Oryctolagus cuniculus: one gene and its partners. The protein of the gene in region 1 interacts with the protein of each later gene in a pairwise test. Links are inferred from orthologs where the notes say so. Each region holds a gene or a part of one and is shown in the gene's direction. Other genes may lie near its edges.

Evidence for each region.
Region 2: the proteins of PSMA3 (region 1) and ZNF385C interact in a two-hybrid assay, tested with the Homo sapiens proteins (2 studies listed by BioGRID). The two-hybrid records come from large-scale screens. The link is inferred for Oryctolagus cuniculus from reciprocal best matches to the Homo sapiens genes PSMA3 and ZNF385C.
Region 3: the proteins of PSMA3 (region 1) and DMC1 interact in binary tests that used the Homo sapiens proteins (3 or more experiments, as listed by UniProt). The two-hybrid records come from large-scale screens. The link is inferred for Oryctolagus cuniculus from reciprocal best matches to the Homo sapiens genes PSMA3 and DMC1.
Region 4: the proteins of PSMA3 (region 1) and FBXO7 interact in binary tests that used the Homo sapiens proteins (3 or more experiments, as listed by UniProt). The two-hybrid records come from large-scale screens. The link is inferred for Oryctolagus cuniculus from reciprocal best matches to the Homo sapiens genes PSMA3 and FBXO7.
Region 5: the proteins of PSMA3 (region 1) and AURKB interact in a two-hybrid assay, tested with the Homo sapiens proteins (2 studies listed by BioGRID and IntAct). The link is inferred for Oryctolagus cuniculus from reciprocal best matches to the Homo sapiens genes PSMA3 and AURKB.
Region 6: the proteins of PSMA3 (region 1) and ZNF366 interact in binary tests that used the Homo sapiens proteins (3 or more experiments, as listed by UniProt). The link is inferred for Oryctolagus cuniculus from reciprocal best matches to the Homo sapiens genes PSMA3 and ZNF366.

What each region holds. Positions count from the first base shown.
Region 1 is NC_091443.1:18,546,489-18,549,546, reverse strand, and holds the end of PSMA3 (proteasome subunit alpha type-3), read left to right. Parts: exon of another isoform or gene 1-687; coding exon 688-734; exon of another isoform or gene 735-1,783; coding exon 1,784-1,851; exon of another isoform or gene 1,852-2,075; coding exon 2,076-2,140; exon of another isoform or gene 2,141-2,415; coding exon 2,416-2,460; 3' UTR 2,461-2,558; downstream 2,559-3,058. UniProt on the Homo sapiens protein: Component of the 20S core proteasome complex involved in the proteolytic degradation of most intracellular proteins. This complex plays numerous essential roles within the cell by associating with different regulatory particles.
Region 2 is NC_091448.1:20,728,216-20,731,625, forward strand, and holds part of ZNF385C (zinc finger protein 385C), read left to right. Parts: intron 1-45; coding exon 46-156; intron 157-1,400; coding exon 1,401-1,569; intron 1,570-3,117; coding exon 3,118-3,410.
Region 3 is NC_091442.1:115,181,807-115,185,306, reverse strand, and holds part of DMC1 (meiotic recombination protein DMC1/LIM15 homolog), read left to right. Parts: intron 1-1,171; coding exon 1,172-1,263; intron 1,264-1,624; coding exon 1,625-1,698; intron 1,699-1,827; coding exon 1,828-1,942; intron 1,943-2,290; coding exon 2,291-2,351; intron 2,352-3,500. UniProt on the Homo sapiens protein: Participates in meiotic recombination, specifically in homologous strand assimilation, which is required for the resolution of meiotic double-strand breaks.
Region 4 is NC_091442.1:110,387,761-110,392,022, forward strand, and holds the start of FBXO7 (F-box only protein 7), read left to right. Parts: upstream 1-1,462; 5' UTR 1,463-1,710; coding exon 1,711-1,832; exon of another isoform or gene 1,833-1,985; coding exon of another isoform or gene 1,986-2,013; intron 2,014-4,262. UniProt on the Homo sapiens protein: Substrate recognition component of a SCF (SKP1-CUL1-F-box protein) E3 ubiquitin-protein ligase complex which mediates the ubiquitination and subsequent proteasomal degradation of target proteins and plays a role in several biological processes such as cell cycle, cell proliferation, or maintenance of chromosome stability.
Region 5 is NC_091448.1:52,686,645-52,688,682, reverse strand, and holds the end of AURKB (aurora kinase B), read left to right. Parts: intron 1-11; coding exon 12-160; intron 161-921; coding exon 922-1,096; intron 1,097-1,225; coding exon 1,226-1,399; 3' UTR 1,400-1,538; downstream 1,539-2,038. UniProt on the Homo sapiens protein: Serine/threonine-protein kinase component of the chromosomal passenger complex (CPC), a complex that acts as a key regulator of mitosis.
Region 6 is NC_091445.1:38,517,718-38,521,217, forward strand, and holds part of ZNF366 (zinc finger protein 366), read left to right. Parts: intron 1-1,138; coding exon 1,139-1,330; intron 1,331-3,500. UniProt on the Homo sapiens protein: Has transcriptional repression activity. Acts as a corepressor of ESR1; the function seems to involve CTBP1 and histone deacetylases.

The sequences.
Region 1 (3,058 bases):
TTGAACCAGCACCCATATGGGATGCCAGTGTTGCAGGCAACAGATCAACCTGCCTTACCACAATGCCAGCCCCAAGATTTGTATCCTTAAACTCAGTGTTAGGGTTGTGTTTTTCTTCCTCAGATGGTTGTACAGCTATCATTTGAACTTTAGGATTTCTAAAATGAATTAGTAAAAATCATGAACCCCATTTGCAGTAATTGAACGACATTTAAGTCTGGATTACTGTGTTCAGTACTCTCTGACGTTCTCTATCTCAAGGTATCCACAACACAAATGTCACTTTGCTCAGACTTTGCGTTGACCCTGAAACGTGTATGATTAATAAATCTCTTGCAGTGATTTCTTACAGGTTACTTTACTTGTTATGGTTAGTGCTTACAGGCTATTTTTCTATTCTGATTTCCCAACAGTCCCTCCAAGTATGTTGAATTCTAGTATGACCAAGCTTTTGCTCTGGGTCTACTTAAGAATTAGACTTGGGCTTATCTAAGTTTTACCAGAAAATTAGTGGTTATCTCCAATATGAATTTTGGCATGTTAATTTAAAAATAATAATAAAAATCAGGAAATTTATCTTTTTGGAATTTCTTTGTTTTTACATCTGAGAATCTATCTTGACCATGAGTTAGTGCTAACAGTTGTGCAGTTACACAAATGGAAAATGTATAATTTTATTTTCTGTAGATGAAAGAAATGACCTGCCGTGATGTTGTTAAAGAAGTTGCCAAAATGTAAGTTCAAATATTCCTTAACTATACACAAAGATATTTCACATTGTCTTGGCATATATATGAGGCTATTTTGGTTGAAAATAGCAGTGTGTAATTTTTTGAAGAGAATTTAACATTCTAAGAATCCTCATGAAGAAAATGAGTATTTCAAGAATGAGAATGAATGCTGAGAAAACAAGCTCCTGTGTGGGCAACGGGATTTAACGCGTGAAGGACATAGTGAATGTTCGTAGGGGCTTCATTTGTTAACTTCCACCACCTCAAATCTCTCAACATCCCCAAAATAACAATAATCAAAACACTACCAAGAAAGCTTAGAAACTTTATTTATCGTGTGATTTACAAGTTAATTATTTCTATACATGATCCATAAGGCTGGCTCACTTATATAAAAATATAGGCTTTACTTTTTCGGATATGTAATAAAAGTTCTTATATAGGGCACATAAATTATTAGGCTTTATTTCCTTAATGAAAGAAAATAGTGTCCTGAGAAGGGATGGTTAATGATGGCCTGGTTCCCATTTATGTTTAAGTTTTTAAAGATTTATTTCAAGAGTTACAAATGAGACTATTTTCCACGTGCATCGATTTATACTCCCCAGACGGCTGCAACAGCCAGTGGTGGGCCAGGCTCAAGCCAGGAACTTCATCTGGGTCTTCTGTGTAGTGAACCATCTTCCATTGGTTTTCTCATGTCCGGGAGCTTGGTTGGAGTGAAGCAGCTGGGACATGAACCTGCTGCCTGCCCATTACTGGCTTCAGGTGGTGACCCTGACTTTACCCATTTCTGTATTCTTGAGATGATTTTTATGGCTTTTAAGCAATGTATATCAAAATAAGCCAAACAAATTATCATTTAGTATTTATGAGGAGAATGAAAGTGTTCCAGTCTATTTCAAGTCCTCTGTAGCTTATTCTGATATTCGTAATTCAGATTTCAGCCTACATAATTTTAACTTGTGGTATGGATGGTAATCTAATTTGTACTGACTGGGTATGTAAACTGCAGTGTTTTGGTCACTGACTCCAGTGTTTTTTCCTTCTAGAATTTACATAGTGCATGATGAAGTTAAGGATAAAGCTTTTGAGTTAGAGCTCAGCTGGGTTGGTGAATGTAAGTAATTTCTGTGTATTTAACAGAGTTTGTGAAGATCTCTTTTGAAATATCTAAGAAATCGCCCAAAATTGATCTCATGCTATGAATTAATGCTTGGGATTAATTTATAAAAATTTGAGCACATAAAATCTCATGAGGAAACATTTAAAAAATAAGGTCAAATGACTATCACTTATAGGAAAGCATTTTAAATTTATTTAAATATATGGCTTAATTTACAGTAACTAAAGGAAGGCATGAAATTGTTCCAAAAGATGTAAGAGAAGAAGCAGAGAAATATGCTAAGGTAAGTCACCTAACCAAAATGATGTATTGTTACTTAACAAATTAAGTAACAGATTTCCAAATTCAGCTCTTCCCTTGGGGAAAACTGTAAGGTTTTTCAGGATACATCAAGTATCCATTGATCTTCAGAACAAGAATATAGTTGAATTTCATCCTAAATTTCAGTTACCATTAATAAATGCTTAAATTCAGGTTGCTGTATCTTAACTTGCTGTTACATGTGGGCTGTAACAATATTTAAAGTTGATTTTAAGTGCTACTTTTTTCTCTTAATAGGAATCTTTGAAGGAAGAAGATGAATCAGATGATGACAATATGTAACAATTACTTCCGCATCTTTCTACTACCGTCTTGTGATATTTAGCCTGTGGATTATAAATAACCCACTGATCAATTTTCATTAAATTTTTGTCTTGTAACTACTGAAGTTTGGTTACTATCTGTTTGACAAAATGGGTGGGATTGAGAACATTTATATTGAAATAAAGGTATATGCTACTTAAAAATTCCTTAGTTAAAATATTGCAAATAGAGGCTTTGGATCAAACTTAAAGCCCCATTCCATCCCTTTAAAAAATCTCATTTTTGCTGGGCTTCACTAGGAGCATCCATGTGTTACCCACATAAATAATTTAGTAAAATGATGGTTGATCACCAGCCACAGTTAAAACTGTAGATGTGATACAGAATTTCAGTTTGCAGGGGGAAGGAGGGGCAGAGTGAGGCACAACAAACAGGTTGTCCCATTGAGTGCTGGTTTGAGTCCTGGCTGCTCCACCGCTGATCCAGCCCCCTGCTAATGTGCTTGGGAAGATAGCAGAAGATGGCTCAAGCAGTTAGGCCCTGGTAGGAAAATCCAGATGGAATTCTTACCTCCTGGCTTCAGCCTGGCCCAGGCCTAGCTGTTTCAACTATTTGG
Region 2 (3,410 bases), on another chromosome or scaffold:
TTCTGAGTTGACTCAGAATTATCGTGTCCTCCACTCCCCTCGCAGATGGACCCGGTCCAGAAAGCTGTCATCAGCCACACGTTTGGGGTCCCCTCCCCTCTGAAGAAGAAGCTCTTCATTTCCTGTAACATCTGTCACCTGAGGTTCAACTCAGCGGTGAGAGGGAGGAGTGGACGCAGGTGTGGGAGGGCTGGCAGGGAGAGGGCTGGAGCCCGGGTCTTGGCAGGAGAGGCCTGGGGGACGTCCCTGGTTGCAGAACAGGTGCTCCTGGTGCTGTCATCGTCCCTACCTCTCCTCTCTCCGGATCCCTCACCCCCTTACAGCCCACTGGGATTTCATCTCACTCTTCTCTGCATCTCTATGTTCTGGGTCCTTCTGCAAGAGAGCAGACTGCCCTTCCCCTCCCTAGGCCCCGGGGTGACCCCTGTTTCTTTGAGCCCCTGAGAAGTCACAGAATGTGCTTATGGCTCTCATCCCAGGCGTCCTCTTGAGACATCCAGGTGACAGGTAAAGGCACTGGTATCGCCCCCACTTTCCAGATGAGCCACGAGACTCAGAGAGGTTAGGTGATTTGCCTGGTAAGTTGCCAGGCTGGGATTTGAACCCAGGTCTGTCTGATCCCAAGGCCTGCAGACTTTGAACCACAGCCCACCCCAACCCAGGTAGAGGAGGCACTTTATCCGGGCAACTCTGGGCTTCGAACTAGATACCGCCACGGCTGCTGTGGTTGAAGGGACCATGGAGGCCTGGGGCAGGGGGGCTGGGGAGCGACAGGTAGAGACCCTTGGTTGACAGAGGACAGCGACAGGAGTCCTGCAGGAGATGGACAGGGAGACCTCACCTGAGGGAGTGGCCACGTCCTTGGCAGGCTGGACACAGGGCCTGGCAGACAGCAAAGGTTCACTTATTGAAAAACATCAACAGAGGGATGAATGTGTTAGTGTGTATACCCCAGAGTATCAGGCCTTCTCTGCTGTCGTGTGTGCATTTATCCATTCGATAACGAGCATCCATTGAGTACCTGCTGCACAAGCAAAACCCCTATAATTCACATTCCCGTTGAATTCTGACAATGCTGAGAGGTCAGGATGATCATCACAAAGCTTCTGAATGAGGAAACCCTGGCTCAGGTGGACTGACTTGCCCCAAAATGCACAGCGAGTGGCTGAGCCAGACTTCAAAAGCAGAGGCTGGTTGCGTGGGAGTCCATGTGTGAGCCAACCTTCTGGGAACTTCAGCGCCACACATTTGCAGTGACGATGGTGGCAATGAAACGAATTTGCCCCTTGTGTGGTCCGAGCCCTGCCTCCCTTGGACCCTGCCCCTGCTCGGTTCCCATTCAAGGACAGAGCAGGTGGACTCAGCCAATGCTTGGTGACCCCATGCTTTCCGCTCCCCAGAACCAGGCAGAGGCTCATTATAAAGGCCACAAACATGCCAGGAAGCTCAAGGCCGTGGAAGCTGCCAAGAACAAGCAGAGGCCACCAACCCCGGCCCAGGATGGGGCGGCTGCGGCGTCCCCAACCCCAACTCCGGCCAGTGGAGCCCCCAGAGAGCCACAGAGCAAAGGTCAGTCCTGAACGCTTGTTCCCCGCCCCCTGCCAAGTCTGGTTCCCAACCAGGAGTTGAGAACCTTCTGCGGGTTTTCTGGGCTCGTGCAGTCAGCATCTTGCCCGTGTACTGCTCAGCGGGCTGCCCCAGTCCTAACACACTCGGATCGGGAACTGTGTCACCGGTACCATGAAGCTGGTCCTGGGGTCACCTCCCAGTCGTTTCCTTGCTGTGTTCACTTCCGCATGTTGGAAAACAACACACGTGTTTCCACGCCGTTCTGGAGCTGGAAAGCCCAGAGTCGAGGTGTGGGCGGGGCTGGTTCCTCCTCACGGGCTCAAAGTGCACCTCTGGCAGCCGTGCTGCTCTGGGCGGGGCCCAGCGTCCTCAGCATTCCTTGGCTTACACACAAGGCCTCCAATCCCGGCCCCAGTCCCCTGCGCGTCTGTGCCTCCGTGTGACCTTCTCATCAGCACGCCAGTCACTGGATCAGTCCTGCCCTAATCCAGCATGCCCTCATTGGCACTCATATTTCCAAAGAAAGTCATGTTCTGCAGTCCCAGGTAGACTTGGAGAGAAACTGGTCAACCGGCCGTACCCCCATCCCCAGGTTAACTGTGACCTGGGTTTTTCTCACCACCAGTGCATTCCACTTGGTTTTGTTGAATCCTAGTGTTTGTTGGTTTCTGTGTCTGGCTTTTGTTCATCTCATGAATGTTCACCAGCATTCATAACACCTGTAAGGTTCATTCACACTGGGTGTATTGTAGTCGCTGGTCCTTTTTTGTTGCTGTGCAGTATTCCATTTGTGATCACAGCGCTATTCCTTTTTTTTTTTTTTTTTTTTTGACAGGCAGAGTGGACAGTGAGAGAGACAGAGAGAGACAGAGAGAGACAGAGAGAGAAAGGTCTTCCTTTGCCATTGGTTCACCCTCCAATGGCCGCCGCGGCCGGCGCACTGTGGCCGGCGCACCGCGCTGATCCGATGGCAGGAGCCAGGAGCCAGGTGCTTTTCCTGGTCTCCCATGGAGTGCAGGGCCCAAGCACCTGGGCCATCCTCCACTGCACTCCCTGGCCACAGCAGAGAGCTGACCTGGAAGAGGGGCAACCGGGACAGAATCTGGCGCCCCGACCGGGACTAGAACCTGGTGTGGCGGCGCCGCTAGGCGGAGGATTAGCCTAGTGAGCCGCGGCGCCGGCCTCCTTTTAAATCTAAATCTCTTATTGATGGATCTTTGGAGTTTTAATTTTATGCTGTTATGAATAGTGGTCTCTGAACATTCTAGAATATCTTTTAGGTGATTGCTGCTTGGCAATTTTAGCAAATAATTAGGCAGTCAGGGATGTGGGGGCTGAGACTACTCTGTTCAAGTTTATGGTTTTAGACAGGGAAACTGAGGCCCAGGAGGCCTGAGTCTGCCTAGGGAGGGGGGAACGCGGCCTTGGTCATGCCTGCACCAGGGACCCTTTGGCCCTACGCCGTCCCCTCCGTTGGCAGTGCTTAGTATCCTGGGTTCCAGAATCATCTTGGGCCTCCCCCCTCACCGATGCCTCCCATCTCCGCAGCAGCTCCTGCAACCCCTCCTCTTGGCCCTCCACTCCAGCTACCGTCGACCCCGGACCCCACATCAGGAGAGCCAGCCCACTCAGACCTCTTGGATGCCGCCTCCTCTTCCTCTTCTTCCTCCTGCCCACCCTGTTCCCCAGAACCTGGGAGAGAGGCGCTAGGCCCCGAGCCGACAGCGGCGGCCGTGGGAAGCGGCGTGAGTGGGGACGGCAGGGGTGAGAAGGAGCGTCTCTACTGCCCCACGTGTAAGGTCACGGTGAATTCAGCCTCCCAGCTTCAGGCTCACAACACA
Region 3 (3,500 bases), on another chromosome or scaffold:
TAGTTCCTGCAGTCGTATTTATCATTTGTTGGCAATACATGATTAATGATATATTAAACTATTTCATACTGAACAGATGAGAAGTGTGAAGAGCGAATTATTTCACTTTAAAATGACTTGAGTTATAACTCAGTGATATATTTCTAGAATAGATCTATTTTTTATAGAACTGAGAACAAAAGAGACTCACACACCTTAGTTTCTAGCTTTTCTCTTGTAACTGACTTGCTGCATAATCTTCGGTCATGTACCTAATCTCTGGCAGTGTCCTCACTTGTAAAACGTTACATAGGCCATACCAACCAGCTTACATGCATTGTAAAATTTGATAATTTAACTTTTTTTGAATTATTTATTAGAGAGAGATCCCATATACTGGTTCACTCCCCAGTTACTGCAGTGAGAGCTGGGAATTCAGTCTGGGCCTACATGGACGGCAGGAGCTTGGCTGCTTGACTCACCATCACTGCCTCCTCCTAGGATCTCCATTAGTAGGAAGTTGGATTCAGGAGCTAGAGCCAGGAATCGAATCCTGGAGAAAGGTTTTGTCTTAACTGCTAGGCTAAATGCCTGCTGATAATTCAATATTTATTTTAAAATTTATTTATTTATTTATTTATTTATTTATTTACTTGGATGTCAGAGTGATAGACAAAACGAGAGAGTTCACTAGTTCATTCCTCAAATGCCCATTACAGCCAAGACTGGGCCAGGCTGACAGGGGCCCAGAACTCCATCCAGGTCTTCTCTCATGGGTGGCAGGAATCCAAGTACTTGGGCTATCAGATGCTGCCTCCCAGGCATGTTAGCAGGAAACTGGATCTGAAGTGGAGATGAAACTAGACCCCAGGCACTCCAACATGTGATGTGAGTGTCCCAAAGGGTGGTTTAACCCAGTGCACCACAATGCCTACCCCAAAATTTAATATTTAAATTCATTACTGCCTCATCATTTCTATGAGTGTTATCATTTCTATGAGAATTTGAGGCATTTATGAAAAATAAAATATAATGTAGACTGTAAGTAATGATTAGCATCCTCTAGAATATCTCTGCAGGTATATTGTTTTACCATTCTTTTAATTTACTTACTTAAGGTAGGATGTTTTGTAGTTGTTGTCTAAGTTGTTCTGCAATTGACTCATTGAATCCTTAATCTTGGCTGCTGCAGTCGTCCGGATCGCCTTCGGGACATTGCTGATCGCTTCAATGTGGACCATGATGCTGTGCTGGACAACGTACTCTATGCACGTGCATATACTAGTAAGAGCCCATGCAGCTGGGTGTGTGGGTTATCATAAGGTTGGAAGCACTGATTTACTAATTGATTATACTAAATATTTTGACACTGTCCTTTTATCTTTTTATTTTAAAATAAAATTAATTCAGTCCACAAATTTTAATAGCTGGTAAGTTCTTGGATATTAAAATACCCTCAAATTATTTCTTATTCATTGTCTGTGAAAGGCAGAGTAGCATTTTTTGATAAATTGTCATATTTAATAAAGTCATAAATCATTAAGAGAATCCTTCCAGGATTCTTTTGCATGGCTCCCAAGGACATAAGTGATCTTAGCCTCTGCTTCTAGCTCTTAGAACATTTTCTCGCTGTATTTCCCACCAGGTGAACATCAGATGGAGCTACTTGATTATGTAGCTGCAAAGTTCCATGAGGAAGCTGGCATCTTCAAGCTATTGGTACAAGCTTCTAAGTATTGCTCACTCACAGAGCTCTTTAGCATATTACTGTTCTGTTGATTCCTATCCAAATTAATTTCTTCCTTCCAATTCCATAAACTTATTTATTTTTACATCAACCCTGTGCAGATCATTGATTCAATAATGGCACTTTTTCGAGTGGATTTCAGTGGTCGTGGGGAGTTGGCTGAAAGGCAGCAAAAATTGGCCCAGATGTTGTCACGACTCCAAAAAATCTCAGAAGGTAGATTTTTAAAATAGAATGGCTCTATCAGAGTAGCATCTGTGACTGTGTTTTAGGTGTGCTTGCAGAGACGTTCAGAGTGTCAGGAGGCAATACTTCTTAAAAAAATAAAATTACCTTTATGGGAATACATATTTTTTACCAAAAAGACTGATCCTAACCTAAATAATAACAATAACTTTAAATAAGTTGACTTATATTATCAGTGAGAAAAACAGGAATGTGATCTTGTTTCTAAAATAAATCTATAGTACGATGTTCTAAATACCAAAATCTACAATGAATGTTTTATATTTGTATTTCCCTTCTCTTAGCTTTTTTTTTTTTTTTTTTTTTTTTTTGATACAGAATACAACGTGGCTGTTTTTGTGACCAATCAAATGACTGCCGATCCGGGAGCGACTATGACGTAAGCCTATTCTGCTTTTGTATTTCACGGTGGTTAATATCAAGATGTTAGAGTGTAAAATAGAAAATAATTTCAGGGAGTAGGCGTTTGGCATAGTGGTTAAGATTCTGCTTGGGACATCCATATCCTGTAAAGCAGTGCCTGGGTTCAAGTCCCAACTCTGCCCCAATTCCAACTTCCTGCTAATGTGGCCCCTGGGAGATAGCTGGTGATGGCTCAAGTGATTGGGTCCCTGCTACCCACATGGCGACCTGGATTAAGTTATTGGATTCTGGCTTGGACCTGACCCAACCCTGGCTGTGTGTGGTCATTTACAGGGTGAACCATAAGATAGGATATTTCTATCTGCCTCTCTGTCTGCCTTTCAAATTAATTAATTAGTTAATTTTTTGAATTAAAAAATTTCAAAATAATTAGCCTTGATGTGTGCACAGATCTATCACACATAATTTTAGTACACATGCATATCACTTCATAATTGCAGATGTGAAGGGGCTTCAAAATTTTATGGAAAAGTTGAGTTAAAAGTTAATGTGGGCCTTTGCCACGGCTCACTAGGCTAATCTTCCGCCTGCAGCGCCAGCACTCTGGGTTCTATTCCCGGTTGGGGCGCCGGATTCTGTCCCGGTTGCTCATCTTCCAGTCCAGCTCTCTGCTGTCACCCAGGAAGGCTGTGGAGGATGGCCCAAGTGCTTGGGCCCTGAACCTGGCTTCGAATCAGCGCAGCATGCCGACTGTGGCGGCCATTTTGGGGGTGAACCAACAGAAGGAAGACCTTTCTCTCTCTCTCTCTCTCTCTCTCTGTCTCTCACTGTCTAACTCAGCCTGTGAAAAAGAAAAAAAAGTTAATGTGTATTTTTGACAAGCTTTTTTGTAACACCCTTTGAACCACTTATTTGTTATCTAGAGTCCATTTTCTCTACCTCTGTAAAAAGTAAATCATTTTCAGCAGTGTTTTGAGCTCTTCTTTAATCTAAAGCTGAAGGATATTGGAGGATAATAAGAAAAGGACGCTAGGGAAATGAAATTATATTCCAAATACATCAATGCCTTCTATTGCACTGATAGGCTGTGAGCCCAAAACAAAAAAAGCAGATTTTCTACAGTGTGAACATGAGGTATCTTTATAAAGGAAGCCCAGTGAGAGGA
Region 4 (4,262 bases), on another chromosome or scaffold:
ACTCGATGACAGGAATGGCAGCCATTCTCCAGTGGTTCCTGGCTATGGTGGCAGCAGCTTCCTGCAGGGTAGTGTGTGTGACAACAACAATCCCGATTGTAGCAGTTTCTGCACCAGGCCAGTTTTACAGCATGGTTCTGAGCTTTGGTCTTGGAAGCTTCGCCTGGCACTACTTTCCCCATCTTCCCTCAATTCCCTGTAGAGTCACCCCTTTACTGTGTAGTCAGTCAGAGTTGGCTTCTAGTAGATTCCTCGGCTTCAAACGCTTTAGTGGCCTCCCATACATTCCAGCATGTGTCCAAATTGCTCAGCTCAAGGTGCTTCATTTCCTGGGATGTCCCTACTCTGTCCTGCACTGTGATCACTGTCACCCTGGTCCTAACACCCTTCCTCAATCCTATACTGCTTGCTACTATAAAGTCTACTGGGCAACCCTCCTCCACCTATACTTATCTCTATTAAACAAAAGCCATTTTTTTTTCACTCTGCTGCACAAGTTGATTCACTAAATCACAAATGGCATGGCCAGGGCAGGAACACGGCTCTTTGGTTTCTGTTTCTGGCACTTAGGCTGCGATCAGTCATCAACACGCAGAACGAAAGCCAGGATGTGGACAAGTGCTGCCACCTGTTGGCAGAGACGTACATGTGCAATCATTTGGACCACGGTCCTCACCCAAGGACCAGACTCGATGACATCCGGTCCCTCGCCCAAGTCATCGTCATCACCACTGTCAGAACCCCCAGGATGATCCCTGGTGGACCCCCAATCAACCCTGTCGGTATTCACGCCTCTGGGCTGATGCTCCCACGCTGAGGGGCTGGGTTTGTGACCAGAAGGCAGAAGCACTGGTGTGGGACTTCAGAGGCCAGGTGATAAGAGGCACGGTGGCTTTGACTTGGTCTCTCTCTTGGACGTCTCCCTCCGAGGCAAGCCAGCTGGCGCGCCTGGGCGGTTCGGGGGGGAAAGCCGAGGCCGCCCGCCGAGTCCTGAGCGTGAGCCGTCGCGGGGGTCGGCGCACCAGCCCATGTCCACCTCAGACGACAGCGGCCCCGGCCCACGTCTCAAGAGACCCTGAGGCAGGGCGATCCCGCCAGGCCACCCCAACTGTGGTTGCTGCTTTAAGCCGCTACGTTCCGGGGTGTCTGCTACCCAGTCTCCGACACAGACCCTCCAGTCGTAAACCCTTTCTTCACATTCTGCTGTGGCAGGAGCAAGTTAACCGGAGCCGCGGCTCAATCCAAGGAGCCTCAGCCCAAAAGTTTTCTCAGGAAACTGCCACGGCAGAAATGGGCAAGGAGCAGGTCCTTGAGCGGCGGCGACTTTCCAGCGCCCAGGTCCCGTCAGGCACCCCAGAGGGCGCCCGCACAGCCACCACCCCGGAAGTACGGCAGCCAGCGCGCCGGGCGGCAGAGTCGGCGCCTGCGCAGTGTGCGCCTCGCGCCCCCCACCTCCCAGGCAGTGCCGTTGCGCGCCGAGTCATCGATAGGAAGACTTCCGTACGGCCGGGGTCGCGTAGGCTGCCAGCTGCCCGCTCGCCGGGTGGGCTCCAGGGGGCGCCCTCGATAGAGGGGGCGGAGCGTTCGGGGTCGAGAGGCCGCGGCGGGGGACCTTGACCCGGTTACATCTGAACACCCGCACAGCCACGTAGTCGCCGCTCCAGGGAGGGTCGTCTCCCATTTATTTCCACCGTCCGGGTCCCCGCCGCCATGAAGCTGCGGGTGCGGGTTCAGAAGCGAACCTGGCCGGTGGAGGTGCCCGATGCGGAGCCGACGCTGGGGCAGCTGCGCGCGCACCTGAGCCAGGCCCTGCTGCCCACCTGGGGGTACAGGTACGCGCGGGGCCGCGGCGGGAGTGGCCCGCGGCGCGGGCGTGGCCGGGCGGAGCCGGGACACTCGGGGTGTCGCCTGCCCCCGGGGCGCGGGCACTGTGACGCGCGGGGCGCGCTGGGCTCTGCTGGCCGGGGTCGCGGCTCCTGGAGGACATGGCGCAGCCCCCCGGGGCCCTCCCGGGTGAGTGAGCGCTCGCGGCCTCGCGGGGAGCGAAACCGAGCCCTCAGCCTTGGAAACGAAACCGGGGGTGTGCACGGCCGGTGCGGGTTCCCGTCGGAAGTGAGGAGCGGGGGGCTCGGCCGGGCCGGGGTTCGGGGGTCGCCTCCGGGAACGCGCTGGGAGGGCAGAGTCTGCGCCCCTCCGGCTGCGCGGACGGGGCGCGCAGATTCGCGGCTCTCCCGACTTTCCTGGCTGCTTTTTATTTGCTGTTTATTGATTTTTGCCAACGTTGGCCTTCGCCGTGACCCTGGGCAGCCCGCAGTTTGGAGGCGATGAAGCTGAGAAAGGCTCCAGCTCCGTTGCTGGTTGACGGGGCTGCAGGGGAAGCCGCGTTCCGGGAACCACCGCTCTGGGGTCCTAGGGACCATGGCCGGGCGACACTGTTCTCAGCTGGCGAGCTGGGTTGGCTCAAAACAAAACTTGCCGAATTAACTTCTTTGATGGGGTTTCCGTTGTGTGCGTGCGCACACGTGCATCTCATTATTGTTTTTAAATGAGCACCGGTCTGAAAGGATGTGAAACCCAATATGATTGTTTGCCCAAGAGCCCAAGTTGGTTTCTCTTTCGGGTTTGTTTTTTGCAGTTCAGACTGGTTAAGTGGAACGAGTTTTAAGTTTCAGCTTTGAAAGTAAGCTCATTTTTTTCTGTACGTTCATTTTATAATAAACAGGTAGTTTTAAAATGTGTCCCTATGACATTATGTTTTTTTTCTTTTTTATTTAGTAAATATAAATTTTCAAAGTACAGTTAATGGATTACAATGGGACATTCTTATTTGTAAAGTGTCTTTACTAAGCAATTGCATCAAGGATTGCTATAAAACATTTTTGAAAAGCCTGGCGTTGCTAGAATTTCATTTTTCTGGTGAAGTTACCCGCCCCCGCCCCAATTTCAGAAAATGAAACCTTCAAGAAACTACATGTTACTCTAGAAGTAAGAGGGTGTTTCAGAATTTCTGAGAAAATGGCACTGAAATGTAAGTTCACTTTGGTACAACAATATTTTTGAAATCCACACTTTTGTTTCTTCATAATGCACGTTTTCTGTAGAGGCATGTGAAGCTGACATTTTTATTAAGCAGGCATTCATTACCTTTTCTAGAAATAGATATTTGCATGTGCAGCAGACTAGGTCCTGTTTAGAAAAACAAGCTGTTGCTGTGACAAATGCTCTCTAAACACCTAGTTCATTTGCGGTATCTTTTTCCTTTTCTGCCAGAACCAGGGTGGTGGTTTTATGGGCAGATGGCAGATTTTCAATGTTTGGTTTATTAAAGCATTTTGGAAAAAGAAGCAGAGTGACATCTTTTTCTTATAAGCAGGAATTCTCTACCAAAGACACTTTATTTGGCAAGAAAAAAATGTATTTCTGTGTGAAAGAAAGACAGATGAGTTGGTTCCAACACTTCTCAAAATGCAGCATTGTAGGAAATAGTGAAGGGAACATGGTTTTCAGAGGACTTTGTGTTTTGTTAACCTCTCAGGATTTATCCAGATTAGCCTTGCTGAGTGTCAGTGTCTCCTAAAACGTGTTGCGCTGGGTCGGTAACTATTCCTCACCACTGTGTGATGACAAAGGATGGTATTCGGCACAGCCCCAGGAATCCAGTGCAGAAAGGCCGGCAGTTCATTGCTTCAGGCTTGTGTTCTTAACTTGGGTGGCACTGAGTCTCTGGGTTTGTGCTGTCTTCCCTGTAAAAGGCATGTAACTGATCATCCATCCCTAGGAAGGTGAACTTGTACTGCAGTCTTCAACAGCGGGGGCTGGGATGAATTTGTACTCAGCTATCTCCACTTTTTGTGATTGCGAATATTCTTTTAGGATGTAGGTTCAGTATTTTGGGACCTATGTAGGCAAGCTGTCATTGAGTTAGGCATTCACTCTCATCTTTGTCTTCCCAACTAATGTTGGGAGGTTGGTATTTATTGTACAAATATATTATTTGCCAACTGCTGGAGATACTATTTGAAACTAGACGGACAAGATCTCTGATCTTATGCATCTTAAGTTCTAGTGGTAGGGGTGTGGGAGACAGGTAATAAACAATTAAATAACTGTTTTCAAATGGTGTTACAATAAAATTAAGCATGGGGATGGATTAGAGAGTGCTGGGGGCATCTCTGAGGCGGTGACACTGGAACTGACCTGGAAGAGCAGCTACAGCGGCCCAAAGGCTGCAGTGAGATTTTCCGAGTGGGGGGATGGAAAGC
Region 5 (2,038 bases), on another chromosome or scaffold:
CGCCCTCCCAGATCATGGAGGAGCTGGCAGATGCCCTGCGCTACTGCCACGAGAAGAAAGTGATTCACAGGGACATCAAGCCGGAGAACCTGCTCCTGGGGCTGCAGGGGGAGCTGAAGATCGCGGATTTCGGCTGGTCTGTGCACGCGCCCTCCCTGCGGTACGTGGCGCTGGGAAGCCGGCCCTGGCAGGCGGCACCTCTGGGCAATCCCGGTAGGAAAGTAGGAGACGCATAGTTCTGACCCCAGGTGCTTCCCACCCTTCTTTTTTTTTTTTTTTTTTTTTTTTTTACGGGCAGGGTGGACAGTGAGAGACAGAGAGAAAGGTCTTCCTTTGCCGTTGGTTCACCCTCCAATGGCCGCCGCGGCCGGCACGCTGCAGCCGGTGCACCGCGCTGATCCGAAGCCAGGAGCCCAGTACTTCTGGTCTCCCATGGGGTGCAGGGCCCAAGCACTTGGGCCATCCTCCACTGTACTCCCTGGCCACAGCAGAGAGCTAGCCTGGAAGAGGGGCAACCGGGACAGAATCTGGCACCCCGACCGGGACTAGAACCCGGATGTGCCGGCGTCACAGGCGGAGGATAAGCCTAGTGAGCCGCGGCGCCGGCCCACCCTTCATTTCTAATGCCAGTGGAGAAGCACCCCGAGCTACTTAAGCAGAACCCGCTTGGCGGGCATGAGAGAGGCCTCCAGGGTTTCTTCCCCACGTCAGCACTGCCCTCCTGCCTTATCTGTTTTAGTCCCCCAGTGGAAGTACTGGGGGGCAATGTGGAGGCCACCGGCCCACCCCATCCCCAGAGGCGTGACCTGGATGGAGCACTCCCCTGCTGCCTCCCAGGGTCTCTTGGCTGCCTGGGGGGGAGAGGGTGGATGAGCATGGTTGCCTGGTCCCAGGACCCCTGGCATGCCCTTCATCCCACAGGAGGAAGACGATGTGTGGCACCCTAGACTACCTGCCCCCCGAGATGATTGAGGGGCGCACGCACAATGAGAAGGTGGACTTGTGGTGCATCGGGGTGCTCTGCTACGAGCTGCTGGTGGGGAACCCGCCCTTTGAGAGCGCATCACACAACGAGACATACCGGCGCATCGTCAAGGTGGGTCACGCTGCCGGCGCTCCAGGCTGCAGAGGCCAGGGGCTGGGGAGGGCAGGGTTGGACGCGCGGGTCTTTGTGGCCACTGGGGTGGAACACAGGCGGTTTCTGCTCCTTTCTCCCCTCCTGCAGGTGGACCTGAAGTTCCCCGCCTCTGTGCCCGCGGGGGCCCAGGACCTTATCTCCAAGCTGCTCAGGCACAACCCCTCCGATCGGCTGACCTTGGCCCAGGTCTCAGCCCACCCTTGGGTCCGGGCCCACTCTCGCCGGGTGCTGCCTCCCTCGGCCATGCAGTCTGTCGCCTGATGGACCCTGTCATTCACTCAGTGTTGTGTGTGTGTGTGTGTGTGTGTGTGTGTTTGTGTGTGTAGGGGGAAGGAGGGAGTCTGGCCTGTTCCCTTATCTGTCTTCTACCTCCTTTTTAATAAAAGCCGAGGCTTTTGTACATTGAGTGTAGATGTCTCTGGGTGGAGGCGACGGTTCCCTGTGGGTAGGAGAGGTTGCCTGCCCCAGCTGGTGCAAGGGATACTGGGTCACTTCCCCCGGTAAGAGCTCGCCCTCCCAGATCCCAGCCACCGTCACCCCCCCGGCCATTTCTTTCCCCTGCTCAGACTCAGAGCCCCAGAGCCTGGGGGTGTTGGGAGACCTCAGATGCCCTCACTGTGCTCAAACACCACCCACCTCTCCCGCCAGTCGATTGTCTGACCTCTGGTTTTTCTCTCTCCTGGTTATTCTGTTCCCCTTTGCCCACCGACCTAGGAGTGACTGAACGTGGCTATGCCCTAGAAGTTGTTCGTTTTACTCCTCTGGCCAAGATGGAAGGGGAGGGGACGGACGAGCAGTGATGGGGTCTTGTTACTGATGTTAGGTCTCACTGTTACGTATGATGCTTGCTGGCCTTGATGGATATTTTTTTTAAGATTTTTAAAAAATATTTTTGAAAGA
Region 6 (3,500 bases), on another chromosome or scaffold:
GGAAGCAGTGATGGCTAGTCAGAATGAGCTCATGTTCTCCCCAAGCCAGAAGTCCTAGAAATCCTCTCAGTTGCTTGAGTGTGCAAACGTTTCTCCACAAGCAGCAAGGACACCAGAAAACCTCCTGTCCTCTTTCCTAATTCAGAAACCCACCCCTGCAGAATGTCTGTGTCGGAAGTACCTGCCTTCCAGCAGCTCCAGACCCCCGTGACACATAGCCCAGACTGAGCTGAGGGAACCCAGGGGACCCAACTGGAGAGGGTGACTGCCAAGTGCTGATTGGGGTGCACATGAGAGTTTTTCTTCTGGGATGTTCAAGTTCACTTAGGAGAACTCAGAAGGATGCTGGCTCTCCTATGGGAAATGATAATACCAGTCTAAATGATGTTTTTTCATCAGCATGCAAGCTGGATTATAGATTTATTTTGCGTACCATTCTAGAATGCTCTTACCCAAATCCTGTTGAGCCCTGAGAACTGTTACTGTAGAATTAACCCCAGCATCAGCATCAGCAGCAGAGAAAACAACAAAAGCTAGAGCTTTCTTTTCCTGCTGTGGCCCAGCTAGTTTATAGTCTGCAGCAGAAATAAAAGACTACATAATCAACACTCTTCAAGAAGATGGTGACTTTGGGGGCCAGCATTGTGGTGTAGTAGGTAAAGCCACATCCTGCAATGCTGGCATCCCATATGGGTGCCAGTTCAAGTCCTAGCTGCTTCCACTTCCAATCCAGCTCCCTGCTAATGGCCCGGGAAAGCGATGGGAGACGGTCCCCACCACCCACGTGGAAGACTCAGAAGAAGCTCCTGGCTCCTCGCTTCTGCCTGGCTTTGCCCTATCCTTTGCAGCCACTTGGGGAGTGAAACAGTGGATGGAAGATCTCTCTCTCTCTCTCTCTCTCTTTCAGTCTTTTACTTTCTCTCTTCCCCTCCCTCCCTCTCTCTGTAACTCTGACTTTCAAATAAATGAACACCTCTTAAAGAAAGGAAAATAGTGGTTTCACAGGGCTGAAGCCACGTCATTTGGCACTTGGCTCTTTGTGACTGGGCTCCTGTGGCTGGGAGAGTGCTGACGTCTGGCTCTCCTGAGAGCGCGCAGCTGGCTAACTGCTGCTTTTTGGAATCTCGCCTCTGTGCAGGGCGTGAAGGAGCACAAGTGTGGCATCTGCGGGCGGGAGTTCACCCTGTTGGCCAACATGAAGAGACACGTGCTGATCCACACCAACATCCGCGCCTACCAGTGCCACCTCTGCTACAAGAGCTTCGTGCAGAAGCAGACCCTCAAGGCGCACATGATCGTCCACTCCGACGTGAAGCCGTTCAAGTGCAAGGTGGGCCCCGGGAGGTGGGGCGGGGGCTGTGCACATGCCTGGCGGGGAAGGCACTCCGGGGAGCTCCAACCCCATCTCATCAGTGGCGTCACAGAGGCTCAGAGAAGATCCGTGGCCAGCCCCAGCTCCCTTCTGCTGCTCTGTCCCTTGGTCCACCCCATCAAGGCTTGCCGCAGCTCTGGGCGTCTGTGAGGAGTCTGCCCTGCCTGTCCCGCTGTGCCCAGGGGTGCAGGCAGGCAGGAGGGGTGGGAGATGCACATGGGGAATGAGGTTGTTAGAGGGTGGAGGGGCTTGTGGAAGACCCTTGTTCTAGATGGGGGACACCAGTTGTTGCCTTCTTCCTGTCACAAGACAATGAGTCAAACAGAGGAAGGCGTCAGGAAGCTTCTAGAACAGCTGCCTCCTGACAGTTGGGCTGAGATATAATTTGAGGACCGGCCTCCCAGCGTGGGTCCAGGGACTCTGAAACCAGCTCCTTGGCGGACCTCAGGACTGCTTGCTTGGACTGAGGGTTCACAGTGAGCTGGGTCCTTTCTGGAGAGTTCTTTATTTAGTCCTCAGTACCGCGGGCACAGGGATTCTGCGGCTTAGTTAAAGTTCAGTGTTGGATTAACCCTGTTGGATTTCACTCCATCCACTGGGAAATGCATGAGCTGCAGATCTCTGAGCGTGGCACTCAGAAACGCTCGGGCTTCTGGAGGTTTCCAGAGGCTTCCCCAGCATTGTTTCCCTTCTTCGCTTCCCAAATGAGGGGACTCTTGCTCCCAATTGGGCATCTGATTCAAGGCATGTCCCAGCACGTGTCATCCCAGTCAGGGACAGAGTGCCAAGAAGGGAGAAGGGGACATCGCCACGTGCACGCAGTGTTAGCGCCTGCTCGACCCCTGTTGCTCCACGTCCCGGACGCTGGGTTCCCGCATCCAGGCTGCTCCTGCCTTGACCGCTCGCAGCGCGCCCCGCACTCGGAGGAACCCCCTGTGAAGCCGCCTTCTTTCCTGTGTTGGCAACTCTGGGGCGGGGTGAGGGGTCAGACGCCAGAGCTTCCCTCGACCCGCGTGGGCATTGTCTGGACATGGGACAGGGAGGCTTCTCCCTCCAGCCCTTTCCTGCCACCCACTTCTGTTTCCCTTCCTTTTCTTCAAGCTTCCAGTGGTTTGAAAGTCAGTTTATGTCCATCTGGAGTCCGTCAAGCGAGGGGAGGAGGAAGCTGCGAGCAGGATGAATGCTTTCGTTTTCAGGGGCCAGTGCAAAGTGGAGATGCCACGATGCACAGCTTCTTGTTGGAACGTTAACAAGACATTTAAGATGGCAAAAGCAGAGGCTTAAGCCGAACTCAGGACCCTCCTGAGCTGTGAGCCGTGCCGCACAGCTAGGAGCCCACCGTGGTGGCACGCACCGGGCTCCGCAGCCCACCCCTTCTCTCTCTGATTTCCTCCCGTTGCACTAGGCCCCCAGAGTGTTTCACACCTGGCAGGATCTCTGCCATTCTTCATTCCTGCTGTTGAATGGATTCCTGGACTGCAAGCACGAACTGCATTTTTTCTTATCCTTTCAGCCAGTGGTGAAGTAAGGCTGTCTAACTATGAAGGGAGCCATTAGCATAGTCCTAGTCCCCTAACAATCCACAGCTGTGTAGCCTACCTATCTCCTGCCCCTGCCTCTGCTATTCGGGCCCAGCCTGAAGGGTGCACCCAGGTCAGACGTGTCCCTGAAATGCAGGGGATGTGGTCAGGGGCCAGAGCCAACGCAGGTTGTGCAGGATTTGGGAGCACAGGGTCCCTTCTGCTTCTCTACCCTCGGAATCCCTGGAAGATTTCCTGGACCCAGGTAGTAACTGAGGAGCTGGAGGGCTCTCTCTGGGACCAGTGCTCAGAAGTCTGCCCAGCTCAAGGCACGCTGGGCCCCGTGATGCCTCCTAGCAGGACGTGTAAGGCCTCCCATCTTGAACCTGGGCCCCCTCCTCCTCCACTCCAATCGTGGGGCACCATACAGGGTTTAGAGGGTAGCTGATAGGTACTCCACGGTTCAGAAATTCCATTTCACCTCTTCCTAGACTTAGAGGGTTGGCTGGACCTTCGATGCTTGACCCATACCACCAGATCCCATCAAAGGGTGTTCTATAACATGGGTTGCTGGCCGTGGAATGATGCACAGGCTACACTTTACAATG